Drosophila melanogaster: one gene and its partners. The protein of the gene in region 4 interacts with the protein of the main gene of each other region in a pairwise test. Each region holds a gene or a part of one and is shown on either strand. Other genes may lie near its edges. The genes, in order: ana1, tacc, Cep97 and Plp.

What was found.
Region 1: the proteins of Plp (region 4) and ana1 interact in a two-hybrid assay, tested with the Drosophila melanogaster proteins (one study listed by BioGRID).
Region 2: the proteins of Plp (region 4) and tacc interact in a two-hybrid assay, tested with the Drosophila melanogaster proteins (one study listed by BioGRID).
Region 3: the proteins of Plp (region 4) and Cep97 interact in a two-hybrid assay, tested with the Drosophila melanogaster proteins (one study listed by BioGRID).

What each region holds. Positions count from the first base shown.
Region 1 is NT_033777.3:24,528,681-24,538,800, reverse strand, and holds ana1 (anastral spindle 1), read right to left. Parts: upstream 8,226-10,120; 5' UTR 8,016-8,225; coding exon 7,887-8,015; intron 7,810-7,886; coding exon 6,200-7,809; intron 6,123-6,199; coding exon 5,999-6,122; intron 5,943-5,998; coding exon 2,616-5,942; 3' UTR 2,406-2,615; downstream 1-2,405. Other genes in the region: Cftr (CF transmembrane conductance regulator), read left to right, coding at 1-752, 818-1,514, 1,579-1,882; CG13623 (uncharacterized protein), read left to right, coding at 8,500-8,543, 8,605-8,980; CG6607 (uncharacterized protein), read right to left, coding at 9,149-9,238, 9,298-9,819, 9,873-10,052, 10,117-10,120.
Region 2 is NT_033777.3:4,741,819-4,748,611, forward strand, and holds the start of tacc (transforming acidic coiled-coil protein), read right to left. Parts: upstream 4,597-6,793; 5' UTR 4,357-4,596; coding exon 3,979-4,356; intron 2,848-3,978; coding exon 2,646-2,847; intron 2,365-2,645; coding exon 34-2,364; intron 1-33.
Region 3 is NT_033779.5:3,865,159-3,873,173, reverse strand, and holds Cep97 (centrosomal protein 97kDa), read right to left. Parts: upstream 5,478-8,015; 5' UTR 5,193-5,477; coding exon 5,186-5,192; intron 4,795-5,185; coding exon 4,634-4,794; intron 4,571-4,633; coding exon 4,113-4,570; intron 4,057-4,112; coding exon 3,698-4,056; intron 3,632-3,697; coding exon 3,371-3,631; intron 3,302-3,370; coding exon 3,125-3,301; intron 3,085-3,124; exon of another isoform or gene 3,050-3,084; coding exon 2,620-3,049; intron 2,553-2,619; coding exon 1,985-2,552; 3' UTR 1,749-1,984; downstream 1-1,748. Other genes in the region: capu (cappuccino), read left to right, coding at 1-155, 227-344; CG31957 (uncharacterized protein), read left to right, coding at 839-1,001, 1,305-1,621; TTLL4B (tubulin tyrosine ligase-like 4B), read right to left, coding at 5,950-6,105, 6,188-7,196, 7,257-7,427, 7,490-7,676, 7,742-8,015.
Region 4 is NT_037436.4:15,086,391-15,093,563, forward strand, and holds the start of Plp (Pericentrin-like protein), read right to left. Parts: upstream 3,804-7,173; 5' UTR 3,429-3,803; coding exon 3,402-3,428; intron 2,164-3,401; exon of another isoform or gene 1,936-2,163; coding exon of another isoform or gene 1,921-1,935; intron 1-1,920. Other genes in the region: sstn (stepping stone), read right to left, coding at 4,964-6,871.

The DNA of each region.
Region 1 (10,120 bases), on a different chromosome or scaffold from region 4:
CTTCATGGTCTTTGTTATGGTGATGTCCCAGGTGGTGTGCAGTAGTTCCGATTTCTTTGCGAACATCTGGACACAGCAGGAGCATCAGAGGTCGCAGGGAGAGGCCACTTTCTCAACCTTCGAGTGCATGTACATATACGGTGCTCTGATCATCGCCGTGGTGATCATGACCACATTCCGTGGCTTCCTGTTCTTTAAGATTTGCATGCATGCCTCCAAGGTGCTGCACGATCGCATGTTTGCCTGCATCCTGCACGCCACCATGAGATTCTTTGACACCACTCCGTCTGGAAGGATTCTGAATCGCTTCTCCAAGGATATGGGCGCCATTGATGAGTTGCTGCCGCGGGCCATGATGGATTTTATACAGATCGCTCTGGTGATGTTTGGAATTCTGATTGTTATTGGTATACTGAATCCGGTTTTGGTGGCCGCCATGTTGGTGGTAGCCGTTGTGGATGTGCTCATCCTGAAGTTGTACCTGAGACCTTCGCAGGATCTCAAGCGATTGGAGGGCATATGCCGCAGTCCGGTGTTTTCCCATCTCAGTGCTTCCCTTACGGGTCTGGCCATCATTCGATCCCGCCAGTTGCAGGATGTGGTGGCCAAGGAGTTTGATTTGCTGCAGGATGTGCACAGTAGCGTGTGGCAGCTGACCATGGCAGTGAATACGACTTTAGGCTTGTGGCTGGACTGTGTCAGTTGCATCTTCCTTACCTCTGTCACCTTCAGCTTCATTATCTCCAGTGAAAGTGAGTTCTATTAGAAATAAGTTATTAAAAAGAACAAAACTAATAGGTATATTTTCTAATTTTAGCCACTTATAGCGGCAACGTAGGCTTGGCCATTGCCCAGGCCATGATCCTAACCGGAATGGTGCAATATGGAGTGCGACAAGTGGCCGAGTCCTTGCAGCAAATGACCAGCGTGGAGCGCGTCCTGCAATACACCGAACTGGAGCAGGAGCCGGCGCTGGGCGAAAAAACGCCACCGCAGCAGTGGCCCACACGCGGTCAGGTGGAGTTCCGCAATATGAGCTGTCGTTATGATCCAAATGGATCGCCGGTGCTTAGGAACCTGAATCTCACCATCGAGGCGGGCTGGAAGGTTGGCATTGTGGGACGTACAGGAGCTGGGAAATCGTCGCTAATTGGAGCTCTCTTCCGATTGGCTCACATCGAGGGAGAGATTTTTATCGATGGCATAGAGACGGGAACGATTTCATTGGAAATTCTGCGCACCCGCATCTCGATTATACCCCAGGATCCGGTACTGTTTTCCGCTACCATCCGCTACAATCTGGACCCCTTCGAGCGGTATACCGACGCTGAGCTGTGGAGCGCTTTGGAAGATGTGGAGCTGCGTAAAGCCATTCCCGGTCTGGACTACATGGTAACGGAGAGGGGCGGCAATTTCAGCGTGGGCCAACGTCAATTGCTCTGCCTGGCCAGGGCGATTCTGCGAAACAACAAGGTGCTGGTACTGGATGAGGCCACGGCCAATGTGGATCCACAGTGAGTCCTAGAACGAAAGTTACTATATCTCCAGAACTAACTTCTAACCCATCTATTCTCGCAGAACCGATGCCCTGATCCAGCGCACCATACGCATCAAGTTCAAGCAGTGCACAGTGCTCACCGTTGCCCATCGATTGCACACAGTCATGGATTCGGATCGGATTATAGTAATGGATGCTGGTGTCGCCGTGGAATTCGATGTGCCGTACTTGCTGTTGAAGAAGTCACAGGGACATCTCCGGCAAATGGTAGAGGCCACAGGCGGGGAATCGGAAGCACTGAAGAAGACGGCCAGTGACAGCCACAAAAGAATGCAAAGAGAACGGGACGAGCGAGATCGCGATCAGGATGAGAGCCAGGAGTGAGAAACGGTGGCCCAAAAAAATATCCATCGGAAATCGCATTTAACCAAATCTGGTGCTTATAATGGCTCAAGGTTACAACTCTTGGGCTCCCAATGGAAGAGGAATCTTGTCCAAAACAAAAACCGTACCAAAATGATTTTCTTGTGCACATACACATATTATGTTATCAATGTTTCATTTCCTTAGTTTAGTTAAGTTTGTTAACGAAAAGTCTAGAATGTGTACTGCCTTATACGTATTGTACTTAGATGTAATCTCCACCAGGGACTACGTTGTAATATTTGTCCACCAACCTATTGTAGACCGCCAGTGAATCGGATGTTTACTTACAACATGACAAAAGCTACTTACATTCTGGTACCGGACCAGAACTGAAACACCGAGGTCCTCAAAGGATCAGTGGGTTAATCTACTCACTAGTTAGACCATCAAATATATATATTGTTTATAAATTGTGTACATTACTGCAAGTCTATATTCATACAACCGAAATATTGTACTTGAAACTCTAGATAGAAATTTAATAAATAATCGTCGGGTTTATTAAAATATAAATAAGTTTCACACAAATTGGTAATAAAATTGTACATTTAACTTATTGAGTAAATTTTATACAATCTTTTTCGATAGTCATTTTTTGACACAAAATTGCAAAGTAAGTAAAATATAAATAATTGTCATAAAATGGATAATATAATCTAAAACCTAAACAAACGAATTAAAAGTTCGGCGATCATTTTCGGGGCGACTTTCGATGCGTTGTCCTGACACCTGATCCTATTTGACCTGAGGATTGGCGAGTTTGATTTGTACTAAGTTTGCTTTGTTGTTCAAAAGGAATGGGTGGAGTTCCATCTGGATAGTTAACCAGGGAGATGCGACTCTCCCCGGAGAACAGTTGAGAGCCGGTGTTACTCATGGACCCGGCCTTCTCTGGAATGGAGAGGAACGATCCCACTGGTGTGGATGTCTTTTGTCTGTCGTTTGTTGCTCCGGTGGCATGGCTTACACCCACTCCTGGCGTTTGCGTGTTGTTGCTGGGCGAGAGCGAATGTAGGACCGACTTCAGAAAGTGCCCCCTTAAGGACTCATCTGAACTCTCACTGGCAACGTCGTCGTGCACTCGATGTTTGAGGAGCTCTCTCGTAAGGAATTCCCTCAGATTAAGGGATCTTCCTATCTGGCTTGCATCCTGCACAGTGGAATCGTCCTTAGACCTATTGTTGTGCTCGTGGCCTCCACGAAGCCGAGACTTTCGTGGCCGCCGTTCTGGCGACGAGGCTGTGGTACTGCTGCACAACTCATCCACCTGCTGTTGCCTCTCATGCATTGTGGCATGCCAGCACGGACTTCTCTGATCCGCGTCGCTGGAAAAGTTGCTGCCGGAGAGGGGATCTATGCCACTCTCGTTGGGTTGATCGTTGGTCACTGGGGCGACGCTTTCCCGCCGCGTACTGCTAGCCACCTCCTGAGCCGTCAATGTGGTCTCAGTTGCGTTTCCTCGACGAAATGAGTTCTTTAGAATTTTCCGCTGGCGGAGTTCTTCCTCTACGTTAAATGAATCCGTGGAATCATTCTCTAAGCTAGCACTGTCTATTAGATCCCTCTGATCGGGTGGTTGCTTGGCCATAAGTTTTTCAAAGTATTCCCTGCGCTTGGGAAAGTCTTGGATACTATGAGTGATCACGCGCAGCTGTCGCATCAGTTCACCCGGTGACAGAGTGGCCTGATCTGCATCCTGACCTATCTCCACATGGATTCGGGTGCTAGTCATGTTATGAAGATAGGCATTAATGCTAGGAAACTCACGGTAGTCAGTTCCTTGATTGCGTTGCCTGATCGCGAGTATTAAGTCATTAAATTCGCCCTGCAGCCGTTGGCTCTGATCAGCATCCAACCGCGACAGATCTAAGTGCAGTTCCTTGGCATACTGATCGAAACTAGGGAATGGCTTGGGCACCGGTGTGGCGGCCACAATATGTGATTGTCCTGGCGTTTCCACTTCTGTAATGGTCGACAGCTCGTGCGCCAGATCCTCGGCGTTTAGTTGAGGACTATACCGACGAATCGTGGCCGGAGGTGCCCTTACTCGTCCGCGTGCTGTATTATTCTGCGTTGATGACCCAAGCGAGATGGGTTCCACATCGATACAAACCTGACCCTGTGCCGTAATTGGACGTGAGTCCGCAATGCCACTATCCCTGCTGGCCGCTGTCGGCTTGTGCTTCTGCAACGGCAAGGCTTCCGAGGTCGAAGGTGTTTGAGAATCGCTGCGATCGGAAATTGTCCGGCATCTGGTTTGCTGTTGTCCTGTTGGAAGCTCAAGATATTCAGTGGACTGCCGCTCGCCATCGCTGTTCGATGTGAGGGTGACCTCCACCAGTCGCTGCTTCTCCTCGCGCACTTTCGTGATCAGCTCTGTAAGTTCGGCGATCCGCTGGGTGCAGTTCTCCGTGAGCTGTGCATAGCGTTCCATGTTTCGGGCAGATGACTCCTCACTGGTGGATAGTGCTTTCGATTTTTCGGGGGCAAAGCGGTTTGTGCTTTTATCGGCGCCTGAACCTTGTTTTACAGTCTTTTGCTCCCTTTTTTGTTGCACTGCACCGTTTGTTTGCTGCTGCCGGTCCCCTTCTTGAGTTCTACGAATTTTGCCGCTTTCCTGTGGAGGTGCTGCATTTTTCCTATCTCCTTGTGGAGTCGGCCTTTCCCTTGGCATCTTTTCTCTTGTTTGCTCTTTCTCTTTGTTGGTTTGCTGACAATCTTCAGGATTCTTGGCCAAACGCTTGTTCCATATTTGATCGAATGCGCGCATACTTTTCTCTGCATCCAGCGATTGTTGCTCCCTTTGCAGCTGCTGCTGGCAACGTATTGATTCTTCCAAGTCATTGATTAAGCTGCGATTGTCGGCAATAAAGGTTTGCACCCGCTCCATGCGATGCTCGTTCATCTCCGTATTTTCATCCTGATCCCTTTCAGCTCTTCCCGCTTCAGGCTCGGGACAAGGGGTTACGTTTCTCAATGAGTTGATCACCGACGTTGATGGTGTGGTCACACACGAGGAACTCACACCCATCTCATCGATATTTTGGCGTGTCATTCCTAGCAGACGATTTATATATTGAACCACCATGGGATGTAATGGAGCAGAAGGGGGAGCGGCCGTGGTCATATTTTTATAGCTCACTGGCGGCAGACTGCGATAGGCAGTGGAGTTGGAATCAATGGATATCTGACGCTGATCCTGTAAGAATGGTCGCTTTCCGTGATCCTGTTCCGTCGGCTTTGGCTCATCGTCTCTTGGTGTGCTGTCAGTTGAGCCCAGGGGCACATCCTTTTCATTGTCGATAGCCGACGGCTTGGTTTTGGCTTTCGATTTTGTTCTCGGTACATATTGCTTAACAGTACCGTCACTCCTCACCTTAATAATGATCTCAACTGGCCCATCTTCTTTTGCGTTTGATTTTGGCTTATCACTCTCACTGGATTTTGCGTTTTTTGTCTCCTTGTAGAACTTTCTTAGACGCTGCTCGAGAATAGCCTCCTTCTGTTGCAAATCAGATTCTCGTTCGTTTAAAGTTCTCGTTCGCTCGGATAGAATATCAGCTCGCTCCTGACGTATATTATTCAATTCCTGTGCATTGTCACCCTTTGATGCACCTGACTCACCCGCCTTCAGTTCCTCCAACAGCTGGACTCGAATTTTCTCAATGCGCTCAAGCAAACTCTTTAGCCTCATCGATTTCAGTGAGTTTGACTGCTCGGCCTGCAGGTCCGACTTGAGTTGCTTGCTTTGATCATTAACGTAGTCGAGAAGAATGGAGCTGCAGCTCTCCGAGCTGCCAAGATTATCCCGGCCGATTTGAACAGGAGGTTCGCCCAAATTAACTGCCACAGAAGCTTTGGATTTGCTGCGCGATAAGTTTGGAGGAGTAGGTTTGGTGCGCACTTCCGGGCAGGTGATAATGGCTGGTCGAAGCAGCATTTCTTCCATTGCATCGTTCATCTTTTGCTCTCGCCTGGCAGCTGCATCCGCGTACCGATGGCTAGGTATAATGTTAGCCTGGTGGGAAAATGAGTTTGTATTATTTAAAGAGGAAAAATATTTGATTTCCTTACATCGGTTGGCAAGAGCTGCGGTTGCTGTTGCGTTAGAGCATCTAGCTTTTCCGTTAATTCAGCACAATCCCGACGCACTTGCTCGCGTTCAAGAGCCTTTTGACCACGATCGTCACTAATTTTCCTATTGAAATACGTTATTGATTTCAATTTGATTCATTAAGATAAGTTCTGTGTTCTGTTTCTTTTACTGGCTACTACCTCAGTTTGTCCAGTTCCTGTTCCCGCAGATCCCTCAGCTGGTTCTCGATGCGAGCATGATCCATAGCGGTCAATTGGGTGGCATCCTTCTCATTGCACTGCACCGACTGTGTTGGTGCTTCGTACGTTCTATGGTACTTATTGCTATGATCATAGAACTGAACACGCCCACATTGAGTCGTCCTTGGGTCCTGTCGCGAGGACATGGTAATTGTGGTGGTGGACACAGTGGATTGCGTAGCAGTGCTCGGTGGAGCAGTAATAGCGGGACCGAGTACAGCTGGCTGATTCGGCATCATTTGCTGCGGTGCATACATCGGATGAGGTTGTGGAAACTGGGCTTGCACGGGAAATGGCATTGAATATGGCATCGCATATGGTTGCATCGGAAGTTGAGCATACGGATGCATGTATGGTTGATTCTGCGGCATGGGATAACAATGGGTCATCGACGGATTTGGCACAGCTGGCATAGCCTGTTCTGGAATCGGTGGAAGGTTTCGAGGAGGTTCCACTGCTGGTTTCTGTATAGCTGTTACTTTGGGCAGCGTAGCTGGAGCTTTGGCCTTCTGACCTCTGTGTATTCCCGCATCTATCACCTTGGCAGGAGCTGGATTTAATTTTAAACCCGTTCTTTTGACTGATGGCTGGTTACGTGGTGCCGTCACAGTTTTCTTCGGCGATCCTTTAGCTGTTTTAGTGGGTGATTTTCTGGGTGCTGGAGCAGGAACGGGCTCCTCACGCTCTACACATTTTCTGGGCGATCTTGGCGGGGATTTGGTGGGACTAGGCGGGGCAGATACTGGTGGAGTAGGATCTGCTTCCCTTCGTTGACTTGGCCCAGCTCGTACGGTGGTCTCGGTTTTTCTTACCAAATCGCTGATCTGAGTGAATCTCGGCCGGCGTTGGGGTTCATCATCACTGGGTCGCACGACATGGCTGAATTTCCGGTTGGTTTGCATGAACCTATCATTTATATCCATACCCTCGGGATTCTTGTCGGTTTCAGAAATGGTTTCCTCGATTTCTACGTCTAGGATTACGGGGGTAGTTTTTTGGAGACGCCGGTTGCTGCTCGGACTCTCGATGATCAGGATGGATGAGTCGTCATCGGACGATGCGTCATCCTCCTTCTCATCCTCTGCATCGGTGCTGGCACATCCACAGCTGGTTTTCCTTTTGCGCTTGCCCTTGCAACAGGGTTTGTTACACCCGCTCTCCATTCGGTTTTCTTTGTCCTCCACTATGGGCGTTTGTGTTCCCGCCGAGGCACGTCCCTCCGCATTTAAATTCATTGTGTTTGTGGTCCGCAACTCAACGCTGGCTTTAGCCGATCTTTTCAAGGCCTGCTTGCGACACCTTCGGATTTTGTCGATTCTCTCTTGCCTCTGCTGCTCGATGCGTTCGTTCTCCTCCTTTGCGGCGCGATGGGCGGCGCCCACCTGGAAAATGGCCGAACGGTAGTCCTGGTGCTTTTTGACCAAAACATGCTCACGCCACGCATTTAGCTCCCTTTGCTTGACCTGCTCTAATTTGTGGATTTGACGCCTCTTTTCGGCAGCCACATCCTCGCGTATCTGGCGTGCCAGGTGGTTTGACTTCTCCCGCACCTGGTTATAAAATTAAGTGGTCACGCTTTGTGTTACAATTACTGCGCAATGGGCTCGGAACCCAAGGGACAAGTTACCTGCTTCAAACGGGTTATGCGACGCTCACTTTCGAGATCTTTGCGTACTTGCTCTGGATCGTCCAGTGGTCCTATGGTCCTCCTCAGGTTGGCCCCGAACTTTCCATTTACTGTTAGCTGCAGAGCCATCTGCTCTATCGATATATGTAATAAATTCGTATGTGGGGCAGCATTTACGCAGTAGAAATCGAAACAAGTTTGAGCGTAAAATCAAACAACCCAACGTCTTTAAAAATTCCTCCCAAGCGGCAGTGTGACCGTAGATGAATAATTGAATGTACTAGAATTTACATGCGTCTAAAATATACCAGCTGGTAAGTAGCACGCACTCAAGGCACAATACAAATTCGGAAATTAAATGATCGAAAAACTACGTGTTTTTTTTTAAATTATAAAATTTAATGAATGCAATTTGAAAGCTACATGACAATAAACTCAGTTTGAAAACGAAAACATCACAACAGCATGTACACAAGCCTAGATGGCCCAGTTGGGATGTATCGAACTATCGACACCTATCGTTATCGTGCGAAATCAGCTGAAATTGTTTGGATTACGAGATAGTAAATAGAAATATTGAAATTACATTTTTTGGCTGTGAAATCGTAAAATTATGGCGTTCCTACTGCGACAAGTGGCCAGGAGCGGATTGCAAAGGTGAAATAAGCTAGGAAAAATTGCGTGACAAATCCCACAATAAATGCTTGATCTTCCATAGAAATCTAATCCTAATGCGGCATGCAACCGCTTCCACATCCGCGAATCCCGAACTTAGTGTCCAGGTGAGCGAGAGCTGCTTGAAACGGCTCCGTGAGATCTGCGTGGATGGATCTTTCCTGCGTGTGACCGTCGAAGGAGGCGGATGCTCCGGCTTTCAGTACAAATTCGATTTGGATAAGCAGCTGAACGAGGATGACCGACAGTTTGGCGAGGCTGAGGCCAAGGTGGTGATCGATACAGTCTCGCTGGAGTACTGCAGCGGCGCCACCGTGGACTACCATAGCGAACTAATACGCGCCGGTTTCCGGATGGTGGCCAATCCGCTGGCGGAACAGGGCTGCTCCTGCGGCTCCTCCTTCTCAATCAAATTGTAAACTTTAAACTTTAGAGAATTATTTAATACACATAGAATGTTCAGTTATATACACGTCGAGGGTGGACAATAACAAAACAGGGTAGAGGGGGAGCGGGCGTTCCCAGTTAGTTATTTTACAACAATATACAGTAAAGCAGCTGGGCGGGATGCGCGCCGCTGTCCATGCTCATTTGCAGGCGGCCAGCTGGTCACTCAAGCTGATGACCTGCTCCGTCAGCACGCTGATTTGCTCCTCGTAGTTAATACGCGTCGTAGTCTAAGGAAATCCGAGATGTCACTTGGTTCTAAGAGCACAAAACTGCAGGCACAACTCACCAACTCCTCTTCGAGCATTTGCAGGGCTCCACCCAAACTGGCCAACTGATCGTCCTTGGCCTTAAGTTCGTGCGTTGCGTTCTCCAGGCAGTTTTGCAGGTGCTGAACCTCCAGCTCGTAGGATCGCAACTTGGATTCCGCTTGCACTTTCAGTCGCATCAGATCCTCGAACTTCTTGCTGAACACACTGTAGATGAGCTGCTCCTTGGTGGGCGGTTCGGGGGGATCCTGCAGCGAATCCCGCGCCCGCTGGCTGCCTTTCGCCTCCGACTCTGCCGGTCGAACGGTGACGCCCGCCGCCGCCGTGCTGCAGCTGCACGTGCTGAGATCCTTGCTGGGGTTCGAGACAAATGCTTGATGCAGCTTGGCCACTTCGAATTGAGCCCTCCAATGCGCCGCCTCCTTCTCGAGCAGCGCAATGCGATCCTCGGAGGTGAGTTGGTTGCTATTCGACTGCTGCTGGAGATTGTGTAGAGGAGTAGTATCGCTGCCGGTGGCGCTCAGTGCGTCCTCGCTGCCAAGCTGAAAGCACGCGAATCTTTGGGTAAATATTTAAAGAGAGATCTCAATATTACCATGCTGGCCGCATCAACCAGCTTTGTTTCCAGCTCGCTGTTCCTGTGCTGCAGCGTTTCCACCTCCTTCCTGAGTCGCTTCTCCAGTTCGTTCTGATCGCCGATGCGTTTCTCCAGCTTCTGTTCCAACGATGCTATGCGCTCCGTGTGCAGCAGCAGATCCCTTTGCTTGTCGTCAATCTGTGCATAGTCATTCGAGCCATAACTCATACCCAATTTTAAGTTTCATCCCCCCTGGCCTTACCAAT
Region 2 (6,793 bases), on a different chromosome or scaffold from region 4:
CCTTACAAACGATATAAGCGGTCATTGACTTACGGTTTTGGTTGTTGACGCCATCATGGAATTCGGCATCAAAGATCTCTTCCTGCTCGCCAGCTGTACCACTTCTCTTCCTGATCATCGCAGAAGCGCCTTTGCCTCCGGTTTCTTCATCAGCATTGACCCTAAACTTTGCTTGATTGTTGGAAGCGCTGCTGGTTTTAAACATGTCATCCGAAACTGGGGAAATTGCACCAAAGTGCTCCAAGAAAACATCGTCCTTCTCATCGCTGGCACTTAGCGTGGCTTGCTCTTTAGCAGAGAGAGTTTGCTCCTCCAACACAACGGTGCCATTTCCCAATGGGGACACTGGAGAAATCGCCTCAGGAGGTCTATTTAAACGTTGGTGAGTAGGAATTGGTGGTGAATTTGAAATTGGTGCTTGGCGTTCCTTCCAAGTTTGCTGATGCGACTTCATCACGGCTACTTCATCTGCCCTCATGGAGATATCCACATCCATAACTTCATCAGCCCCGGTGTCTTCGGTAGCCTCCACCGCTGGAGAAGCATTCTGCTGCATGCAGAAGGTGCGTCGAGGGTTCTCATTTTCCATACAGAAAGTCCGACGCGATTTGGCCTCCTCCTCTTCCTTCGTGGGCTGAACCACCGAGAAAGTGCGCCGCTGCTTATCATCAACCGATCCCAGACTTACGGCAAGGGTGGAAGAAGGCTCAATATTCTCTGTACCCTTCTGTGATTTGTCCTCCGTAATGCTTCCGCTGTCAAAGGTCATATTTGACGAAGTGGGAGAAATCTCGCTCATTGGCAAGGTTTCGTTGAGGTGCTGCTTCTCAGGACTCGGTTGTGTTAACTCAAAGACTATTGGTGATTTCGCTATGACTCCGAAATCGCTTTGCTTGCGATGTGATGAACGTTCTACCACAGCCTCTTCCAAATAGGGCATGTCCTTTTGCTCGAGCTGAGCACGCGGTGAGCGTGGAAAGTGGGACTGTTTTTCAGCAGGTTCTTTGATGGGGAAACTGGGCGAAGTCGGTTCTGGAAGGCTTGCAGTGGTTGTATTCCCTTTCAGATCCAAGTAAAGTGGCGTTGGTAAGACTGCCACAATGGGTACCAGGCCGTGTGATAGCTGCTTACATTCCACCTTCCCCGCCGTCGAGACACCATCAGGCAAAGGCAGCTCCCTCAAAGCCAGGAACTCTAGTTCCTCCGCTGTTTTTGGGCGATGTGTAGGTATGGGCGGGGAAAGGGAAAGTTCGATAATTTTTGCTTGAAGTGCGGGTGTCGGCGGTGAGAGCGAAGCTGATGGGACAGATTCTACAGGCAGCTCTATTTCAGTCATCTTTAATGCACTTTCTTTTCCTGCAGTTTTTTGATCCATTTTATTATCTTGACAATCCGTATCATTTTGAACGCAGAGTTTTAAGAAAAATTTGCTTGAAACGGGAGAATGAGCATTAATTTGCTCCTGCCGACATGAGTTAAGCACTGTGGCATCATCCACTTTCATGGATTCATCCACATCCATTTGATCAAGCTCCTCCACAGTCCTGTCTTCAGTTGCCTCCATAGCTGGGGATGCATTTTGCTCAAGGCTGATGGCAGTGCATGGTCTCTCCATTGATTCTACTGCCACCGAAAATTGCTTCTCTTGATTAGGGTATTCTAGAGATTTTGCTGATTTTGTGGACAGTTCTGAAGAAGCCTCTTTGAGATTTAAGGCCTTTTCAGGCTCCTTAGGATTTTGTGCGTCCTTCACCTGAGCACTACTGACCGGGTGGTGCTTCTCTTTCTGAAATATATCTTTTGTATTTGTTTGCATTTCCTCTTGATGCTTAGCTAAGTCTTTCGTAGAGTCCAAGGCAGATAAGGTGAGCTTCGGCTCAAAGGATTGTGTACCAGACTCCTCAGACAGTACTGATTCTACCAATGATTCTGATTCCTTTGCATCACTATTGGGTTTAGAGTGTTTGGCTAACTGGTCTAGTTCAACCCTATTTTGCTCCTGATTTGGATGATAGTGCACAAAATTATTCTCTGGTTTTGACTGGGTTACGCTGAGAATATGCGTTTGCATAAGATGACGGTCTTCCGCATTCAAGACGTCCTTTAACATTTCCATGGTTTCGTTTAGGTCATCCACATCCATGGCTTCATAGCTGACGTTGTTGTGCTGGCTAACTGCCAAAGGATCGTTGAATTCAGCTCCCAGTGTAGAAACTGAGGTCATGGACAGCTGCTGCTCCAAAACATCATTAAGGGCACTTGAATATGCCTCTAACTCCGATCGATCTCCGGTGTAGCGCTCGCTATGAAGCGATAAACACTCGACAAAAACATCCGAATCCGAATGGTTGGATTTCAGTTGAGCTAAGGGAGGAATGAATGCGATATATTAATCAATTCGTTTTAATAATAATTAAATACATATAAGAAATTTATTTATATAATTAATACAACGAGAAATTTATACATAAACTTGGAAATGATTTATTTTCCCCAGCTGGCCCTTTCCTTTGTATAAATGACGGTATTGAAATAGAAGAAATTACTTCGCTCTTCTGGCGGATTTCGTATGGAATTCTTTTGTACATCAATATAATTTTTCTACCTTAAGAGATTTCTGGGTTACACAAACAAGATTTACTCACTATCCATATCGGTACTTAAAGGAGCTAGTTCCGGTATTTGCGTCTCATCGAACTCGGGAAGACCTCCAAACTTTGGAACGAGGTCGTCTTCTGGCTTAAGTCCACCGGGTACCGCCGTCTGATGCCCCAGAGCTGCCGCCATTGCCTTCTGTTGATCCATGCTCGTTGGCTTGGGACTGGGCTTCACCGCCAACGGACTCAGCTGCCAAACAAGAGATGCAAAATTTAAGAATATAGTTATCAAGATGTACATCGCGGTCATGATCCGAATAGTTTTAAACCGTGAACAACCGATGTTGGGAATGGGGTTTTAAAGATGATCACGAGTAGCAGCTGGTTGGTCATTTAATTAAGAATTTTTGACACACAAAAAGGCAAGAGCCCCACCACAGTTGGCATAAATAAATCGCATTTGGGATGACTTTTCCCGTATTTTCCCATTGCCAAGAAATTATACAAAGGCATAGGACCCCCATTTTTAGTTATTATCATATACAAAAGAATACATTATTATGAAATTATGATCTTCATTTGAAAAACTTCAATCTCATCTAATGTAGCCCATATGATACAGATGCCTTCAATTCACGCTTAAAAAAGACATACATTTCAAATGTTTGTCGCAGTCGGTCAGTCAACAAAAGCAAATGTCATTAATTAAAAAGCCAGCCAAGACGTAAAAATCGGGTATATGGCATATGTTTGGGAGGGTGGCAACGAAACGGATTGAGGAGCAAAAGGTGGGGAGATGGACGTGGAACTGGGTCGACGTCAGCTTTTGTGCAGTGCGAAATAAACATGCCGCGGATTCAATGCGGCCGGCCGCCATGTTTAATGTCTATTTAGGTTTGGGAGCATCGTTCTACACGCGGAATTTAATTAGAGCGCATTGCAGTATAATGGGTGCTGCAAGGTTAAAGTCAGAAGAATAAGGCGAGTGGTGACCGGCTTATGAGCGAGACACTAAAAATTAGGAAAATTCTGGCATTAGACCAATTTCTCCGTTTCGATTTTATTGATAAGTATTTTAATTTTAATTTTTTGACAATGGGCTCAAATTTGAGTGGTAATGGGAAGCAGATTCCTGCGGAATATTAGCCCAAGCTAATGGCTAGATACAACCCTATTTAAAATAATATTTTCTGCAACGCAATAAGGTGACAAAACCAAGTGGAACCGCATAAATACTATATATGCAATCGGCAAAACACATTGGGACATTACAAAAAAATTCCAATGTGTAGATTTATGCAGTTTGCCTAATACTAGAACACCCCCCCCCCCCCCCCCAGGGATGCACATAAAAAGATAGTCCTAATTCTTTCAGACATACCTCGCCACTCATGGCTTGCAAGTGCTCCATTTCGTTAGCACTCACTTGGTTCAGATTGAAGTTTATTTCGCTTAGAAATTTCTGTATTTCTTCTCTACTATCAGTGCTGTCCTCGGGGGCTGGGAGTGGGTTCGAGATGGATTCCATAAATAGTTCACAGTGCTTTCCCTCCAGTCGTTGCAGCTCCTCAGAGGCGGACTCTAGTAACGAGTCCAGGTGCGCGGATACAAGTGTAACTCCTCCCTTATCCCTTGGTGTAGAACATTCATCAGCGGGACTAGCAGCTTCTAGGGCTTCCATTGTCGTTGGCTGATTGGTGCTGATGCCAGTGGTGGCGATGCTTTTGGGTCTTTTGATGATATTCGCGAGGAAATCCATGCCGCTCTACGCACGATTAACTCCTGAGACGCGATACGGTTCACTTGGCTCCAAAAAATAATGGATCTATAGAGTTCCTTAGTTTGGTCTTTAGTGTTTTTTTTTTTTTTTTTTTTTTGTGGTTTTTGTTGTGACACAGATTTGGGCTCGCCTACTCGGTAAAATCTTTACTGTGATTTTCCGCTTCCATTATATTGGGTAATACCTCCGGGTTTCTCACGGCCCGTTGTCGCGTGCGGTTCTCACTGCCTCCCGATCATGTCTGCCTTTAAAATCAATTTAAAAATATTTTCGTTTTCAATTTGCTTTGCTCTGCTCAGCGTCACACATGCACAAATACTTAGAGCACGGCGAGAGTGCGGGGGATCGACAGACCGAGTGAGAGAACGAATAGTTTGAATGGCATCCACATAACGATCCGGATGTTTTCGTATGTCTTCATGTTTGGATCGTTTTAGCCCACATGGCGTTCTCCCCTTATCAGCACGGTCCTCTCTTCCATTTATAATACTGCCATATGTTTTCACATGTGAGACGGCGGCTAGAGACACCTTTGTATATTACACATTATGGATTTCATACCAACTTAAAACATTTATTTAGCACATCCTTAGTCTTGAAATAGTTCCGATAAGTTATACTCTGAACTTTTAAGCACAAATATTCCTAATGAAAATTAAATCAAAACAACAGAGAACTCAGTCGTTTTTCTCGACTACCCATTACTCAGCTTTTGGAGCTACGAGAAATATACCCTTCAAAGATTTTATTAGCATATAAATAATATAAGTCTTAGTGGCCAGATAGACTTGGCTGGTGATTCTGAAGATGAAATCTTATCCTTTCTATGGTTGGAATAGTTACCCTTTTCTATTTCGAGAAAATATATTGGGTTTTATGAAGCTAGAGGGCAACACACACTTGATCCATTTAAACACACTTCTCTTAGATATATGAAATACATTTTGGAAACGGTCGAGGTCGTGGGCAACATTTATAAAATAATAATGTCAAAAGAGCGGGCTCAAGTTGACAACCTTTTTGACTGAACTGCAGTGAAAAACTGAAAAACTATACAGGCCTCAGACGAAATTCAGACTGAAAGGCAGCAGTGAAAGTGCAAGACACCGCAAATAAGTCGAAACACTTAAAGAAGGGGATAAATAAATGGGATACGAGAATACGGCGACCGCCGACTGCTTATATTGTCTTCGCAAATCAACTGGAGGAACTTGGTGCAAATTCAACGCTTTGATGACAGAATTATTTTGCACATTTTCCATAGGATTTTTGGAGAACAGTCTTATTTGCAAAATGCTTTCTCTTAAAGATATACCAGTAGAGGCAAGTAGAGTGCTCTAAAATAATAAATATGTTGATTTGGCTCATCACATTGTTTCAAGTGTAGAGGCCTGGTGGGTCCCAGATGACATGCAATCCCACAGCCATTGTTGCGCATCATGGCGCACTATCTGCAAGCTCCACATTGCCCAACGGCTGACTTTGCATGTTTGGCGAGAAAATGTAAGCAATGAAACGGAATCCCACACGATGGGCCTTGACGAGGGGGGAATAGTTAGATGTTGGCTCTAGCGTTATCCAAGCAGCGCGCGACAGGTGACAAGATATCACACGGTTCCCGGCTCAGGGTGAATTTAAAACCAATGTAGTTTGTTGAAGCATATAAGCCTTGAGTGGAATCCAAATAGTGGCCACAAATGAGTATACTGATTTCAGAAAACACAATAAATACAATAGAATAGAATACAAGTGGAATTTGAACCTTAAGCTGCAATTCGAATATCCAATAGAACTCAGGAAAATAAAAGAAAACAAATATTGAGGAAGAGCCAACTATAAACTGATCTAAAAATAGGCAAATGTGGAAAGGGGTGGAAACCATCTGTAGATCCTTTATAATGAGCATTTTTGTTGGCAAAAGGGAAGATGGAGTTAAATGACATTTAGTCAAACTTAAATCCTCAGATGGGCGTTTTTTGGACTGTAAACCGCATTAGGCACTGACATTTTGCAGCCGTTAGCCGCCAACTGATTTATTGGCATAATAGCGATACACACTAGCATTTTTAAATGGAAAGTGCACCATCTGGAGAGTGGAAATTTCAAGAGACAAATATATAGAAGGAAGAATAAGTAACTTTTGATTTTCCCTTGGCATACCCGATTCCCTCGTCCGTCGTCCGCCTTTATGGTAATTTTCCCGGACAAGGCCCTCGGTTTCCGTGTCTTGCCCGGCTTATTGCCCATTCTCCTATGGCTATGGCAGATCGGGGAAACTGGTCACCTGGGATGGACAATGTCCGGCGGACACCGATCAACTAGAGAACTCTCGTTCGCGACAGCTGCCTCAGAGCTAATAGGAACAGCGAATAATGGAAATTTATATGTACATATGTATTTACGATGAACAATTGCG
Region 3 (8,015 bases), on a different chromosome or scaffold from region 4:
TTGGAGACCATGCGCTTCTACCACTTCTCACCCAAAGCCTGCACCCTAACGTTGGCCCAGTGCACGCCCGACCAGTTCTTCGAGTACTGGACGAATTTCACCAATGATTTCAAGGACATTTGGAAGAAGGAGATCACCAGTCTCCTGAATGAATTGTAAGCAATAGCAGCAGTCAACTTACCACTTACCCAGCGGGATTACCCAGTTTTTTTTTACACATTTTCAGAATGAAGAAATCGAAGCAGGCCCAAATCGAATCGCGTCGCAACGTATCCACCAAGGTGGAGAAGTCCGGACGGATTTCGCTGAAGGAGCGCATGCTGATGAGGCGTAGCAAGAACTAGTTGCCTCAATTGAATATATTTTGTATTTATAGTTGCTTTTTATTACACCATTGCTCAGCAAACTTCTCGTTACATGGATGTAGTCTCCACTAATTGTTAAGTCACCAATTTGTATAAACTCCTTAAATGCAGGCGCTGTGGCTCTACAAATAAAATGTGCTCTTGCTATTAACATTGCGCGTTTACTCGGACGAGTGTTCTTTTAGTGTTCGAATCGTTTCGCGACGGTTATAATTCACAAACTTTTGGCACTTTATTCAAAAATAGAATTTATCACTTTGCCTAGGGATTGTACAACACTGCTTGCTAGTGCTGTGTGTGGCATGGCTTGAGACCTATCGCTAAGCATTTTTATAGAGTGCTATCGATAGTGACACGACTTGTGCTGCCTCACATCACTAGCCCAACAGCTGTTTGTACACAAAACAAGTCAAAAGTTGAGCAATTTTAATTTAATTGGCAATTTGCACAGAAATCATATTGAAAGCTGCACAATGCACCGATCACACCCGAGTATCAGTCGTCGCAAGCATCTCATGAAGGAGATGATGGAGGACGACTACGCGCTGCCCACAGAAACTCAGCAGATTGCGCGGGTCATCAGCAGTCGGGGCAACAATCTCCACGAGGTGGAGACCGTGGACGAAACGTTCCTTGGTGAGTGGATGAATAAAGTCGAGGAAAACTCCATGGTTAGTTAATTTTGAACTAGCTATTGCCGGGTATACTAGATTTTTTGAAAAGTATGTCACAGGCAGAAGGAAGCGATGGAACCATACCAAGCATATATATTCTTGAACAGGATCAATATCCCAATCGATCTGGCCATGTCCTTCCGTTCGTCCGTATATCTTCGTCCGTCCGTCTGAACGTCTCGATAAAGACATGTTGAGATAGCCCATCCCAACTCATTTCATGTTGATACTTAATAATGAATTTGTATCCTTCTGACCCTTTTAGTTTCGATGCCCAACAAATTCCGCAAGAGCATGTGGGTGAAACGTGGCGACTTTCTGCTGGTCGAACCGATTGAGGAGGGCGATAAAGTCAAAGCCGAGATTTGCAAAATACTCACACCCGAACATATAAAGGAATACACAAAAGCTGCAATTTGGCCGGATAAATTCACAAAGAAACCTGTACAGGAGGAAGCCACCAGCCAAAACAAAGACGACTCCGATTTCGAGGATGATCTCCTGCCCAATACAAATCGGCCTGTAAATCGCGATTCCTCCGACGAAGAGGAAGATGAGGAAACATCCAGCGAAGAGGACTGAACGATGTACAAACACACACATAGTTAGGTTATTTACAAATTTGTCAAACTTAATTAAAAAAAAACTGTTGGTTAATGCTGGTGTTGTTTTTGAACAAAATCTGCCCGCAATCAAGAACACCTTTTGTGCTTTACAAAAATTTGTATTTACGATTTGTTCATACTATTGTTAAGTCTTCCACCATCGCTGCATCTCAGGAATGTAACAAAGTAATGTGTTTGTGAATGCTGGTGCTACTTCTAAGTTCTCGTAACCGATCTAATATTGTTGCAAAAGCTACACAAAAGCCTAAGAAAGGAATTAATAAGCGCTGAGATCGACCCTTAAAGCGTTTATACTCCTCATTTATTAACTGGGATTTGTTCATGGATCTTTATCAAGATTTTCCGAGTCTTCTTGGGTCTCCTTCAGGTCGACATCATTCAATTCATCGATTTTGGGACAAGCCAGAGCAGCTTCGTGCTTGGATTCTAGGGCCAAGGTTGAGGGCCTTGTTTTGGTGAATGGAAAATTGGTGAGGTCCTCTATTTGCGGCGTGTGTACGGCAATGAGGTCCGTCTGAGTGGAGCTGCAATCAATGATCTCGGCCTGCTTCTTAATAGCGTCCTGCGGCAGATTGCACACCATTGTGAGGCAGTTGACGATGGTTCCAATCGAGCTTTGCAGCATTTGAACCTGATCGGTGAGCATGGTGCATCTTTTCGCCAAATCATTTACCACGGCGGCTGAATTTTGATCGAGACTCAGGTGGCCAGACCCTCCGCCATTGGAGTCCTCGCCCTGTTCCGCAGCAGCAGGTATTCCCTTGGGATCCACCTCCATGGTGGACACCTTTTTCCACAGCGCATTGATGGCCTGCATCTGCAGCTGCTGAATCTTTCGCTCGTTCTCGAGCTGGGCCTTCGTAAGTAGCATATCCTTGCCGAGTTGTCTGAGGAATGCGACAGATAGAGCATTAGAAAGTTGCGATATATGTTGCCTAAAACGAGACCACCTACTCGATATACTCCTGTGTGCGTCGTCGCTGCAATCGCTCGGCTATGTCCTTGTTGGTCTTCTTGCGTGTGTGATAGCCTCGCCACATCTTTTGGATGGTAACGGCCGAGGACTCTGTCACGTGCTCGATCAGCCGATCCTGGCAGTTCAGGTTGTTGTCCACCTGCTGCTTCAGCTGCTCCTGATGCATCTGCTGTTGCTTCTGAGCGGCCATCTTCCGGATTGCTCTCAGTTTCTCTATGTTGATTTGCTCGCCGTCGTCGTCGGTGCTGAAGCCACCGCTATCGGCCAAAACAGCCGATTGCTGGAGTTTCTCCGGTGCCTGCATGTTGTCCGCGCTGCACTTATTGGCCATCCTCCGTGGACTGCTCGTAGGGCTTTGGTTCCTCTTCAGTTGTGGACTTCGCACTCTTGGCAAGTTCAGTTTGTTGTCTGTAGTGTAAATGTGTATGTATGTTTTAGAAATCTGTGTCGTTTTAAAAGTCTAGAGTAACAACTACTGGCTACCTTTATTTTTGTTGATCTTGGTCTTGTGCAGCTGAGGGTTCAGTGCCGTAACCGTAACTCTTTGGGCCACAGCGGCGGGACAGACATCCGGGCTCATCAGAGTCTCCGGAACTGGGACCATTTTCGAGGCAGCCGCCAATGGACCACCAGATGGGGTTTGACTGATGAACGTTTGATCTGTGGAATTGTTGTTTACTATTAACATCATTTTCCACTCTTGCATTGAATATATTTTAATTGTCATACCATTGTAGGGATTGGGTGTTATATTCCGTGGCGTGGACTCCGTGGAATTGTATGTCTTGGTGGTCACGCTGCTGGACATTCCGCTGCCGGCCAAACTAAAGCCTTCGCCATCGTTTTTAATGTTCTCAATGAGCGAAATGCTCATTTGCAGCGAATGATTCGTAGATCCATTGTCGCTAACAATGCTATTGTTGCTGCTGTTCCCGTGATAGCTATTCACCATGGACTCCGGTGATCCCTGGCGGCCACTCAAGCGGGAGACTTTAAATCGAAGACAGAAAAATATAAGTTATATGAAAAAGCATAGATAGGGAGTTAATAACTTACATCTGGGCGACTGAATGCGACTCGTGGGCTTCTTGCGATGGGATGAGGGCGAAGTGCTGGCAGAACTATTTGCGTTATCCATGATCTCTTCCTGCAGCTGCCGCTGATGGTGTTGCGCCTTGCTGAGGATCAGCCGGAGTTTCCTATCGTTTTCATTTTCCAGCGCCTTGCCCACCAGCGGGCACACAGAACTTAGGTATTTTGCCAAGCCCTGCTGCTCGCCCACACGGAACTGGCGACCACGTCCCTGGCTATACAGCCATTCGGCCTTAAGACTCTCAATAGGATCGACCACAAAGCCATCGATGTACTTGAGGCTCATGCACCAGTTTAAAACAAAAGGTCGGTAATCAAAGCCACTGCAAGAGATGTTACATTTTAAGCGCAATCCATATGATCCATTAAGCTAACTCACTCCAAACTGTTGATCATGGTCACACAGGGATTATCCGCAATGGAAATGCTCAGCAAGTTGCTCAGATGCGACAGCGTACAGATCTCGTTGAGATCGTTGATGCTATTCTTGGCCAACGTTAGGGTTTCCAGTGAGGTGGGCAAACACTTGTCGCACTGCCTCAGATGCGTCAAGCGATTTCCGTGCAAATATAGCTCCTTGAGATTGCGCAAATAGGACATATCCGAAATGCTGCCAATGCTATTATCCGCCAGATTCAGGCACTCCAGATTGACATTCGTGTTCAGATGCTCGATGGTCTTGATGTTATTCCCCTCCAGATTCAGAACGCGCAGATGGATGCATTCCTTCAGGCCCTCGATAGAGAGTATGCCATTGAAGGACAGATTCAGTTCACGCAGGCAATGCAGCCGGCAGACGCCATACATGCGCAGCAATTGATTTCTGGCCAAGGAGAGCTGAAATATTTGAATTTCTGTTAATTAGGAACTTGTTTCTTTTCGCAGAACGTTGCAAGTCACCGTTTCAATTTTGAGATACGAGTCTATGTTGTCGATCTTCTGCAGCTCGTTCTCGTCCAGGATGAGCTGCCGTATGCTGTGCGCATCGTCCTGCTTGGGCACCTTCTTCAGCTTTTGCTTGGACAAGTTCAGGACGTGCTTCTCCTCGCCACTTTCGTCGCCTGTTTGGGTTAACAAAGCACAGTGGGTAGAAACTAAGGTTTACCACTTCATACTTATTATGCATTAAACACAATATCAGAATTATGTAAAACAAAAAGCCCAAAAAGGAAATACATAATGCAAGCTTCACTGTATACGTGTGCATGTTACAAAATTGATGACTTCATCGAGGGGTCCGCACTTTTCAAGAAGTTGGAGAGGAGGTCAGGGCGCAGGTGCGTCCTTTTTAGCCAGGACCTCGAAGCCCCCGGCCCGCTGAACATTAACCCCAACTCCCCAAAAGCAGACTGCAAATTCCCATACAGTCAGCACGCAAATCCCAATCCCCGCAAATCATATTATTAGTTACTAATATATAGTGCCCATTCTTGCATAGAACTGGCTTCTTACCACTCATTTTTCTGATTGGCAGGCCGAAATTCCAACGCTGCGGTCAATTTTTTTTTAATCAGCAGATACTTAGCGAAAAATCAATGGGCCACTCTTTTTTCCACGCAGTTTCAGATTGGCAATTTCCCAAGTGTGCAGCTCAGCTGTTCCACTTGCAGTCCTTTGGTTTCAAGCCGGGTTTATAATTCAGTCCACGCCATGATTTGCAAACTTAATTTTTATTTTAGCGCCGTGCAATACAGTGAATTTTTGTTTATTGTTATTATACTACGTCTATCGATAATTGGAGGCGTGATGTCGTTATCGGCAGCTTGAAAACTCAAGACTGCGCCGCTAGTTATCGATTGCACTTCCTTAGACTTATCGCAACTGCCAAAGCCCGCGTAGTTCAAAAAGCTTAGTACTGTGCTGAGCAATTACCCAATAAGAAAACCGATACTCTTTACAGTTTACAGTGTTCGCATAAAGAATAAATAATAAGAACTAAATTTAAATAAAATATTTATTTTCATAATTTTTTTAAACACCCCGTAGTGTTTTATATTTACTGAAATGACGTGTGATCCAATTTCTAGCTGGATGCCAAAACAGGCTATTGCCACCAAAGACGATCGAAGTTAAGTGAATTTACTGAGCGGATACAATTCCGGAGCACATCTGCACGGGATGCTGGCACAGCTGTGAGCTGGTAACGGAAACGGGAATGGAAATGGCAATGGCAATGGAAGAAGCAATGGTGATAGTGCTGATAGTTCGGTTCAATTTCAGGACTTGATCTCGATGCAGGCATCCGGAATCGGCGCCACCTCGCAGCCCTCCTGGACAACGGGCTTAAGTATGGCCAGCGTGGTGGCACCGTCCAAGACCTCATCCTTTCGCACGTGCAGCATATCGATCTCGGTAAGTGCAACATTTGGTTCCTAGATAAGAAATATGACTTGAAAATGGACTACAGAAGCGGTACGGAAGGGGAAATTCAATTGAATTGAATTGATCGTTCACCTTTTCCATGGCGGCGTCCGACACCTGTAAATGGTATTTGTCCCGGCAATAGCGCGACAGCAAGGCAATGCCCATTTCCCTATTCTTGGCGTACTTCGTCTCCCAGGCGTCCAGCAGGCGATTATAGTACCGGGCATTCTCGACATAGCGCAGATATACATGTGTGCCGGCGGTGGGGAAGATCCGTTCCAGCGGCTGACACCTGGCCAGCTCGTCCTCGGCAACGATCAGGCAACGGACATCGTCCGGCAGTAGATTGTCCAGTATGGTATCAACGTACTCCTCCCGGAATTCGATGCTCCGATTGGTGTACTGGTTATGTTTGCGGACCTCCTCTGCAGTCAGGCAGGTGGTGAAGATGCGTTTGTCATGGCACAACGGACCGGTCAGATTAAGCTCCTCCAGGATGTCCGCCTGCTGACGTTCGTTCAGCTTAGGCGGCACCTGATATAGAGCCGTATTCAGCACGGCCTGAATGAGCGGACCCTTCACGTGCAGATCCAGTGGCAATTCCGAATGCAACGACGGCGATATATTTATCTCCAACAGCCAGGGCACTAGATTCTCATCCAGGAGCACATCGAAGCCAAACAACTCGAAGCAATTGTAGCGAAAGTTCACATTCTGGCGGTACATGCGATTCAATCCCGATTCCCCGCTCACGATGCCCTTGATGACCAGATTCCGTAGCGTGGCCCACAGGCGCTTAGTGTTCACGCCACGATTCTCCAGGCAGGACCACAGCGATTGAAGCGTCCACTTGTGGCCCTGGCAGGCATTGAAATCCTCGTTCTTCGCATAGTTCTGCGAGAACTTGTTGATGCTGTAGTTGGTCAGGTGCATGCAGCGCTCGTCCAGATTGCTCAGCTCCGAGCTGTACTTAACGGACGCGAAACGCGCCAGTCCATCCTTGTACATATAGATGCGGAGTGGGTTGATCGAGGTCAGTACCACATACAGACGCATATCGAACTTATTGTCGTTGATCAACAGCGGACGTTCAATGTATCTGAAGTGGGGTTTAGGGTTAGGGAAGATTTTTAAAGAAGACGAAGTTATGGGCACCCACTTCTGAACCACCAGAGGACGATCTTTGGGAAATTGGCTCCACTTGTTCACAATGCGTATGCCCGTGCCTCGGGCACTCGCCGGCGGCTTAACAATCCACTTGGTCAGCTTCGAGGCATTTTTGGGCCACACCTGACGCAGGCTCTCCAGATCGTCTGGCATAATGTAGGATCTGTTAAAGAAGATATCGAGTAAAATAATAGAAATTCAAAGTTATATTTTCGCAGTGCTCACTTTTGCATAAAGCCAAACTCCTTCTTGCCGAACTTCTTCATATTGTTGTAGATGCTGCGCCACATGGTGTCTTTTCTACCGATGCGGAACGATCCGGGTATATGGTTGTACTTCTGGTGCGATCGAATGGTCCTAAACCCGGGGCTCTTCATGTGCTTCTCCCACACGGCCATCCAGTCGGTGGTGTCTGCAACAAAGTTTTTTGAAACAATTAGATGGGGTTTAAACCACAGTAATCATACGACGACCCACTCTTGATGATGCGGAAGCCCGAATTGAGCACCACTCGCTTGACAATCTTCGGCATCACGGGGCTGAGTTTCCATTTGAGCACTCGATGCAATGCTGCCGGCATTGGAGGACCCTTGTCCGCGTGGGACGTAAAGTTCAGGTACGGCGGAACGTGCGGGAAGAGACTGGGCGAGAGTATGGCCTCCGGACGGAAATAGACAGACGCCTCCGAGTCCGTGGTGCGCACAGATTCCTTCGATGGTGTCTTTTGCGGCAGCAATCGAGTGTGCTTGCT
Region 4 (7,173 bases):
TTTTCTAGATTTTGATTCGATTTAATGATGTCACCCAGTTGTCAACGTCTGAAACGCATTGTGAGGATTCTTTTCGAGGTTCGCAATCGTGGCGGCCCACTAAACTTGGTCGAAAGGTATTAAAAAGCGATTTTATTGCGTAAACAAATGCGATTGGAAATGTGGGCAATGATAGGCCAGCACATCCAATTTCAAATTGACCTGCATCTCAAGTGTGGTTCTGTGGATTGGTGGCTATCTTTTGGAGAGGGCAAGCAAGACGCTACTGCTGCCCACATCCATTCCTTGATGGATTGCAGCTGTGTCGGTTGTCGGTTTCCCATTTAAATTATAATTAGAAGCATTCGAGGCATCTTTATGTTTGGTAATAAAGTTCCCTTCGCGGAGGAGTTGCATATGTTTGGATTATTTATTTTTGGACTTGCCCACATTAATTAAGAAAGACGTCTCTGTCCACTCGAGTGATCTATATGTCTGAAGGTGTTTGAAACGTGTGCCACACATGCATCCGTTCCCCAATCGAGTGAGGAAATATTTAAGCATTTTCCAATTACATTTTTCACAGATGGAAATCTAATTAGATCGCATGCATATATAGCGATGTGCCAAGGCGATGCATTCAACGTTTGAATAATAAGCCTTTTCCAACTTATATCGTAGATCATACAGTAAATGTCGGCTTACATATATGCAAACTTTTTAAATTTTATTTAAAATATATTTATTGCAATATTTGCTTTAAAAAAAAAAGAGTTATTTCCCATTTATATTAAGTTTAAATTGTAATTTACATACAATTCAAGTCCGTACTGTATTTTGAACGACTGAAAAATATATTTTCCATATTACACATACGCCATGTGGGTCAGGCCGTAACGCTTGACAAAGTTTTCACAATATTAGCGGAAAATGCTTGTGAAAAAGTTATCCAATTCCCGGCCACATGGTGGTTTGAACGTCCTTGAACTTGTCAGGACAAAGACAACAACAACACATTCAGGAAGTACCAGCACAGCGATAAGGATATCGGGATAACAAGTTTGCACCTATAACCATGACAACGGATTTTCTTTGAGTGTGCGTGAAAAACGAAAACGAAAGTCTTTTACATTCCTTGCAAACATTTCAATTTGTTGCTATAGTTTGGACCTCTTTTGTGGGCCGTTGTTTGGGTGTGACACACATTTCAGTTGGATCGTCTGAGGTTTTTGCACTTCGGCGACTAATAACAACAATGCCACTCCCCTTTGGAACGGGAAAAGGGGCGAAGGACCTAGCCCAACGTCTCTGTTAATGGCGCTGACGCCTTTCCTTTGATTTTCCACAAGATATTGTCGATAAACCCTCAATAATGGCACGCATATTGGCGAAAATGATTAAATTAATAGCTTTGCCTGGCGCAGAATTGACAGTGAAATATGTTGGACAAAAATAAATTCGGATTGGAGAAAGGATTTTCTTTTGCGTTGCTATGAAGAAAGGTTATTTCATTTAAAGGGTTTAGTTTAATATAAATTCTTAAACGCTTGCATTTAACATTTTCATATTTTATATAAAAATTTACATATGAACACACAATTTATATGATTGTGAAGTAGATGATGAATTGCTTTATATCCTATACCCGCATTTTATTTGATTTACAAACCAAATCTTTTACAGCATTATTCTTTCAAATAGTAATTCTAATAAATAATATTCAAGAACAATTAAGAATGAGATCGTATCGTAACTAAATTTATAGAAAATATGGTAAATACTGTATAATTTTCTCTAAGTACACTGCAATGCAAAAAAAATCCACTAATTTGGTTCATTATCATGCGGTTTCGAATGATATTAACACACTTTGGCTGGCGAGTGATGCAAATGTCACTGGGCGATGCTAAAGATCACATTGCGGACAATAACTGAACTCACATGCAATTTCCCCATTTCGCTGCCCGCCACTCATTCGATTCAATTCAGCGATGAAGAAGTTATCTCAATTAAATGCAATTTACAATCACTTAAAAAGTCCATATATCGACAATGGCTATTGAGGGTTACATTGTGCAAACTTCTACGTATATGCAAATGTTTCGTAGATTTTTTTAAACAATTTTATGGGATCACAGGCACTGACACTGCACTCTTATCTTTATAGAGCTATAAATGTGCGGAAAACCGAAAAACGACGACGCGACCGCCTGCAGTGCAGGTTCTTTTATAAATAAAACGCCCGAAGAGACATTCAATTGAAATCAGTCACTCAATCCGAGGAAAATCAAAAGAAAAGCGTTGGAAAAGAGCAGCCACGGGAGAGGCCGAGCGATTGAGAGCGAGTGCCGCGGAAATTTGCAACGCGGTTCCAAGCGGTTCCGTGCACCGAATGTTCGCTCCCATTTTTTATTTATAAACAAAATGTGTGTGTGGAACATAAATTTGTTTGGAAGATGGTGATAAATGCAAAAGAGTAGTTTTAAAAGCATTTAGAACTATTGTTTTACGATTCGCGATTGCGATTGATACTGAAGTAGCTATATATATAAGTACTTAGAATTAGTATTATAATCAGAATTAATGTCCCTCAAAAACTGTTATATTTCATTTTTTATAGTTAGTAATTTATAATTATTCTATAATCATCATAAAACATTTTAAGTTAAGTTTAAAAACTTGAAGTTCAAATTTTATTTTAAAATTTGTATACAATAACAATTTAATATAAGAAATTCGAGCCATTAATCATTTCGATGAATATTAAAAATTTTTGATCATTTTCGTATACATTATCCAAAAATTTTCATCGTATTGCGGTACATGTATTAGATTTATTCAGCAACAAGTTGCAGAAACATTCTTTCCTCAACAAAATCGATAAGCGAATCGGTTATTGTAGCGAGACATTTTTTCAAAAATATGAATATTGATGTTTATAATAAACAGGGAAACAGTAGCCAAGATTCACTAATAAATGTATTAGTTATTTAACAAAGCAATTAAAACCGCATAATGTGGACAATTCAATTATAATTTTCACTTAAAAAGTTGCTCTATAATAATAAAAAGTATGCTATTCAATGATATAAAATATAATACTTATTTAAAAAATAAAATATTATTTAAAATTCCTAATCCGTTGGGTATTTTTCACTGTAGATTGTTTACAGATTTCGGAAGGGCCTTGTGGTCTTCTAATCGAAAGTTCAAAGGCGCATTCAATTTCGATTTCATTTGTAAACACACTTGAAAAACAACATGTTCTGTTTGTGGATCGTAATGAATTGAAAACACACATATCAAGGCGCATTCAACCCACATTTTGTGGATTTTATGCACAATCCGAGAGCACAGATGATGGATGTTCGGCTCCCAAATGGGTTAATACTTTAATGGATACCCCTGATTGTTTGGCTTACCCAATCGTATATAGTGTACAGATTCATGGTGACTGCACTTGAACCAAATAATTTATGGCCTATTCCCTGTTTTTTGGCCGCCTTTGTTGACACTTGCGCCTGTCAGTTGGCTATATCTATAGGCATTCTAGATGTGGCCCAAATGCGATCCATTTTCTTGTTGATGTTTTTACGTAGTGGTTTTGATGACACTATATTTTAGAATTTTTTCGGGTTGACTTGCTTACAAACACAGACGAATGCAACGAACCGAATAATTTTGTAGGTTAGGTTGGAGACTTTACGTAAAATTTGATATTTTTTTAATTTAAAGTTTAACACGAAGACAACACAATGGGGGAAACTAGCTACTTAAAGCGTGAACTCTTAATTTATCATTATGTGATTTTCAATGCTCCTCGAGGGAGAAAGAACCGACAAATTTGAAACTTAAAAACAAAAAAAAACCAATAGTGCAACCGATCTGAAACAGTTGCACGTAATAGCGAGCGCGATGCAACTGAGAACCAAATCCATTGCGAAGAGTCTTTATATTTTTGGGGTATCGGGGGATATCCACGCTCTTTTTCTCCCCATCCAGATACTGTAATGCTCAGTGAAGCACAACAAGAGATTGTTTAAAAATAATCAATCGTAAACAAAATTTGTTGCAGTGGCATTGAGTTGGGGAGAGTCCAAAAGAGAGAATTCAATGTACTACTACCAGATCGCGAGAGAAACAAAGAGAAATCCGAGAGATAAAGGGGAGGAAAGTAATTAAGTTTTATCGGTTGTTCTATAAATAAGTTTTAACCAGAGATTAAGGAACTACAAGATATATTCGATAAGGAATGATTTAAGGAAGTGAGAACACATTTATGGGTATAAATGAGACATTTATTTATAGGCTAGGGAAATATAAAGCTTTCTTTTCATTTCAATTATTCAAAAAATCTGAAATGCTACAAGAGCATTAATAATGTTTTGAGAAAAATATTGGAAGTTCAACGAAATATTTGAATGCTTAAATATCAATAAAAACGCACTCGCATATATTTTAATATAAAATATTTATTTTTATCTATTTGTTATTGCTTGTCGGTAGTTAGTCTTAAGAAAACTCGGTGAATATATCAGTATCCAATCGGTATATTCATATAAAAATATCATTCGATTAGGGTAAATATCCTTTATACACTTATTAGTTAGCTAGTCAGTTATTTGTTTATAAATGCTGTTAACTATATAAAATATTTCCATATTTTCTAGGCATCCTGTTGTAAGGCGATTTCTGTCCCCCTCGGGGATAATATTGTCCTGTGTTTTTTGTACTTTAAAAATTCAATACAAAATTTGAATGTCGTTCGATAAATTGCTTTCAATACGTCAGTTTTCAATTTGGCAGATCTTTTGAGCATTGTTATTTTCTTGATCCTAAATAATTTGGCTAACGAACTTAAAATTCGAAAGGAGTCCAATAGTTTGAGCTGCTTTTGCTTTGTAGTTTCTCAGTGCTACAAAATTAGTTTAGTTAATCACATTAAAAGGTGAAAGTGCATGAGAATTCCGTACAACCTTATAGGTCAATTAGGATTTCCGCCCTCCTTTTGCTTAAACTTGGTGGAGTATTTGTAGAAATCGGACATCTCGAAGGGTTTCGTCACTTCCTTGTACGGCTGGAAAGTGGCCTGCTGAACTACGGTCATGTTTTTGGGCGACTCGATGCGAATTTCCGGCGATAAACTGGCTGTGGCCACTGTTACTGGCGGTGACACAAGCGCTGTTTGGACAGCATTCCCATGAGCAAGTCCGCTTGAACTGCCATTACCACTGTGACTTAGGTTCTGGTTCTGAGTATGAGCCTGATTTGCGGGTGGCGGTCTGGGCGGCGGCGTTGGCTGCTGCATTTGACTTGGCTTGGGTGGTAAGTTTCGCAGTGCTGGTATGTCCAGAGGTTCCAGCGGATACGATACCGATATCCCCAAAGTTTGCTCCATTGCATTGAGATACGAAGTCGATTGACTTAGCAGGGCTTTCGAACTGGTATTCACCGCATAGCTGGCACTGGGATAATTCGGAGTCGGTCGCTGGTTGGACATGGAATAGTGACGACCCGCTACCGACATGGACTGCGAGGAGAGCTTAGCGCGGGGTTTACTTGAAACCATGGCAGCTGCGCCGGGATTACTACTCCCATTACTACTCCCAGCTGGACTGTGGGGCTGTGAATCCATCTGCCTGATAACAGCTGGCCCATCTAGCGAAGATTCCAGCCACTGCTTGGGCTTGGGCTTCTTCTCAATGGTCGTGGACGAGGATGACAGTGAGATCTCATCGTGCGGCGGATAGCGGCTGGGTGGCATAGGCACCGCCAGCATATCGCTGGAGTGCGATTTCACCTCTATTATGCCCAATTGTGGAGGAGTTAAGGGCGCTATGTGTGACTGGGAACGCCATCGATATTGCTGCTGATGCTGGGCAGCTTCCATATCGACGGAAACATAGCTGGGCGCAAGGGATATAGCATCTAGTTGTCGCTGGTGATGTAAAGGATTACGCTGTTGCTGCTGCTCGTAGCTGATATTACTGGGCGATGCCATTGGGGACACATATTTCTTGATGTTCTGACTTGATTTAATAAAGCCGCCCTCATTGTAACTTTGATGCGTGGGCGATAGGTAATATTTATCGCACTGCACTATAATTGGTTGCTGCTGGGGCGCCACTTGTGGCGGTTGCCTTAAAGTTGCTACATTGGATGAATTCGCCGAGTACATGGATATGACATCCGGCTGTGATCTCTGGTAGTTCATGTTCATTGCTAAATGAGCTTGTTGCTGATGCTGCTGGCGCATATATTGCATTTGACTCGGCGTGGGTGTTGGTCGCTTCTTCAGGGCACTCTTCACCAGAGGCGGTTGTTGTTGCGCCTGCTGCTGGGCCACGCCTATTACCAGCATATCGCCCGCCCCCGCCGATGAGGAGGGTTGGTAATTGTCATATTCTGAACTGCGATTCGATAGCGTTTCCGACTGTCGATTGTTATTGTTGATGGTCATTTGGCTGTCGCGACTTTCCCGACTCGTTGTACTTTGTTTTCTCCTCAGAATTGAGCTGTTTTCCCTTGCCAACGCTTGCAGCTGCTGTTCATGTTTGTACTGTTGTGCTAATTGGACAAAAAACTCATTGACCGTCATGTGCTCGTAGTTGCCATTGATGATGGCGGTCTCCTGTTTCTGGATTTGCTGCAGCAGCCAGCTTTTTTCGCTAAGACGCTGCTCCAAGGCCTGTTTCCTAGCCTCCAGATTCTCCTTCCTAACCTTTGGATCATCCTCGATTTTATTGTTGTTGCTACTGCTGCTGTGGTTATTGTTTATGTTATTCGTATTGTTGTTGTTGTTGAGATTGTGCATAGAGTTGCTTGTAGTTGCCGCCTGATCTTCATCTTTAAGACTGGCCATATTTCTGCTCTTGGGCGCTTTCAATTGCATCGCCAGTGGTTCGTCGGCTTCGTTGGTGGGTTGTTGGTGCGGGTTTTGGTATTTCAGGGGATCCTAGAAAAGACAAGCAGTCTTCGATCAGTCGCCTCCTTTGTTTTTATGTAATTTATGGGTTTATTTTGGGGTATTCACCCCACTCTGATACAAAACTTTAACCATTCCATTTTTGTTTGCTACATTTTTTTTTTAACATTTTGAAACAAGAAAGAAAATATAACAGAATGAGTCTGTAACTCAGAAGCTGATTTTTCTTAGTTAGTCTACGAAAACTATCTGAATTATTTTCAAATATA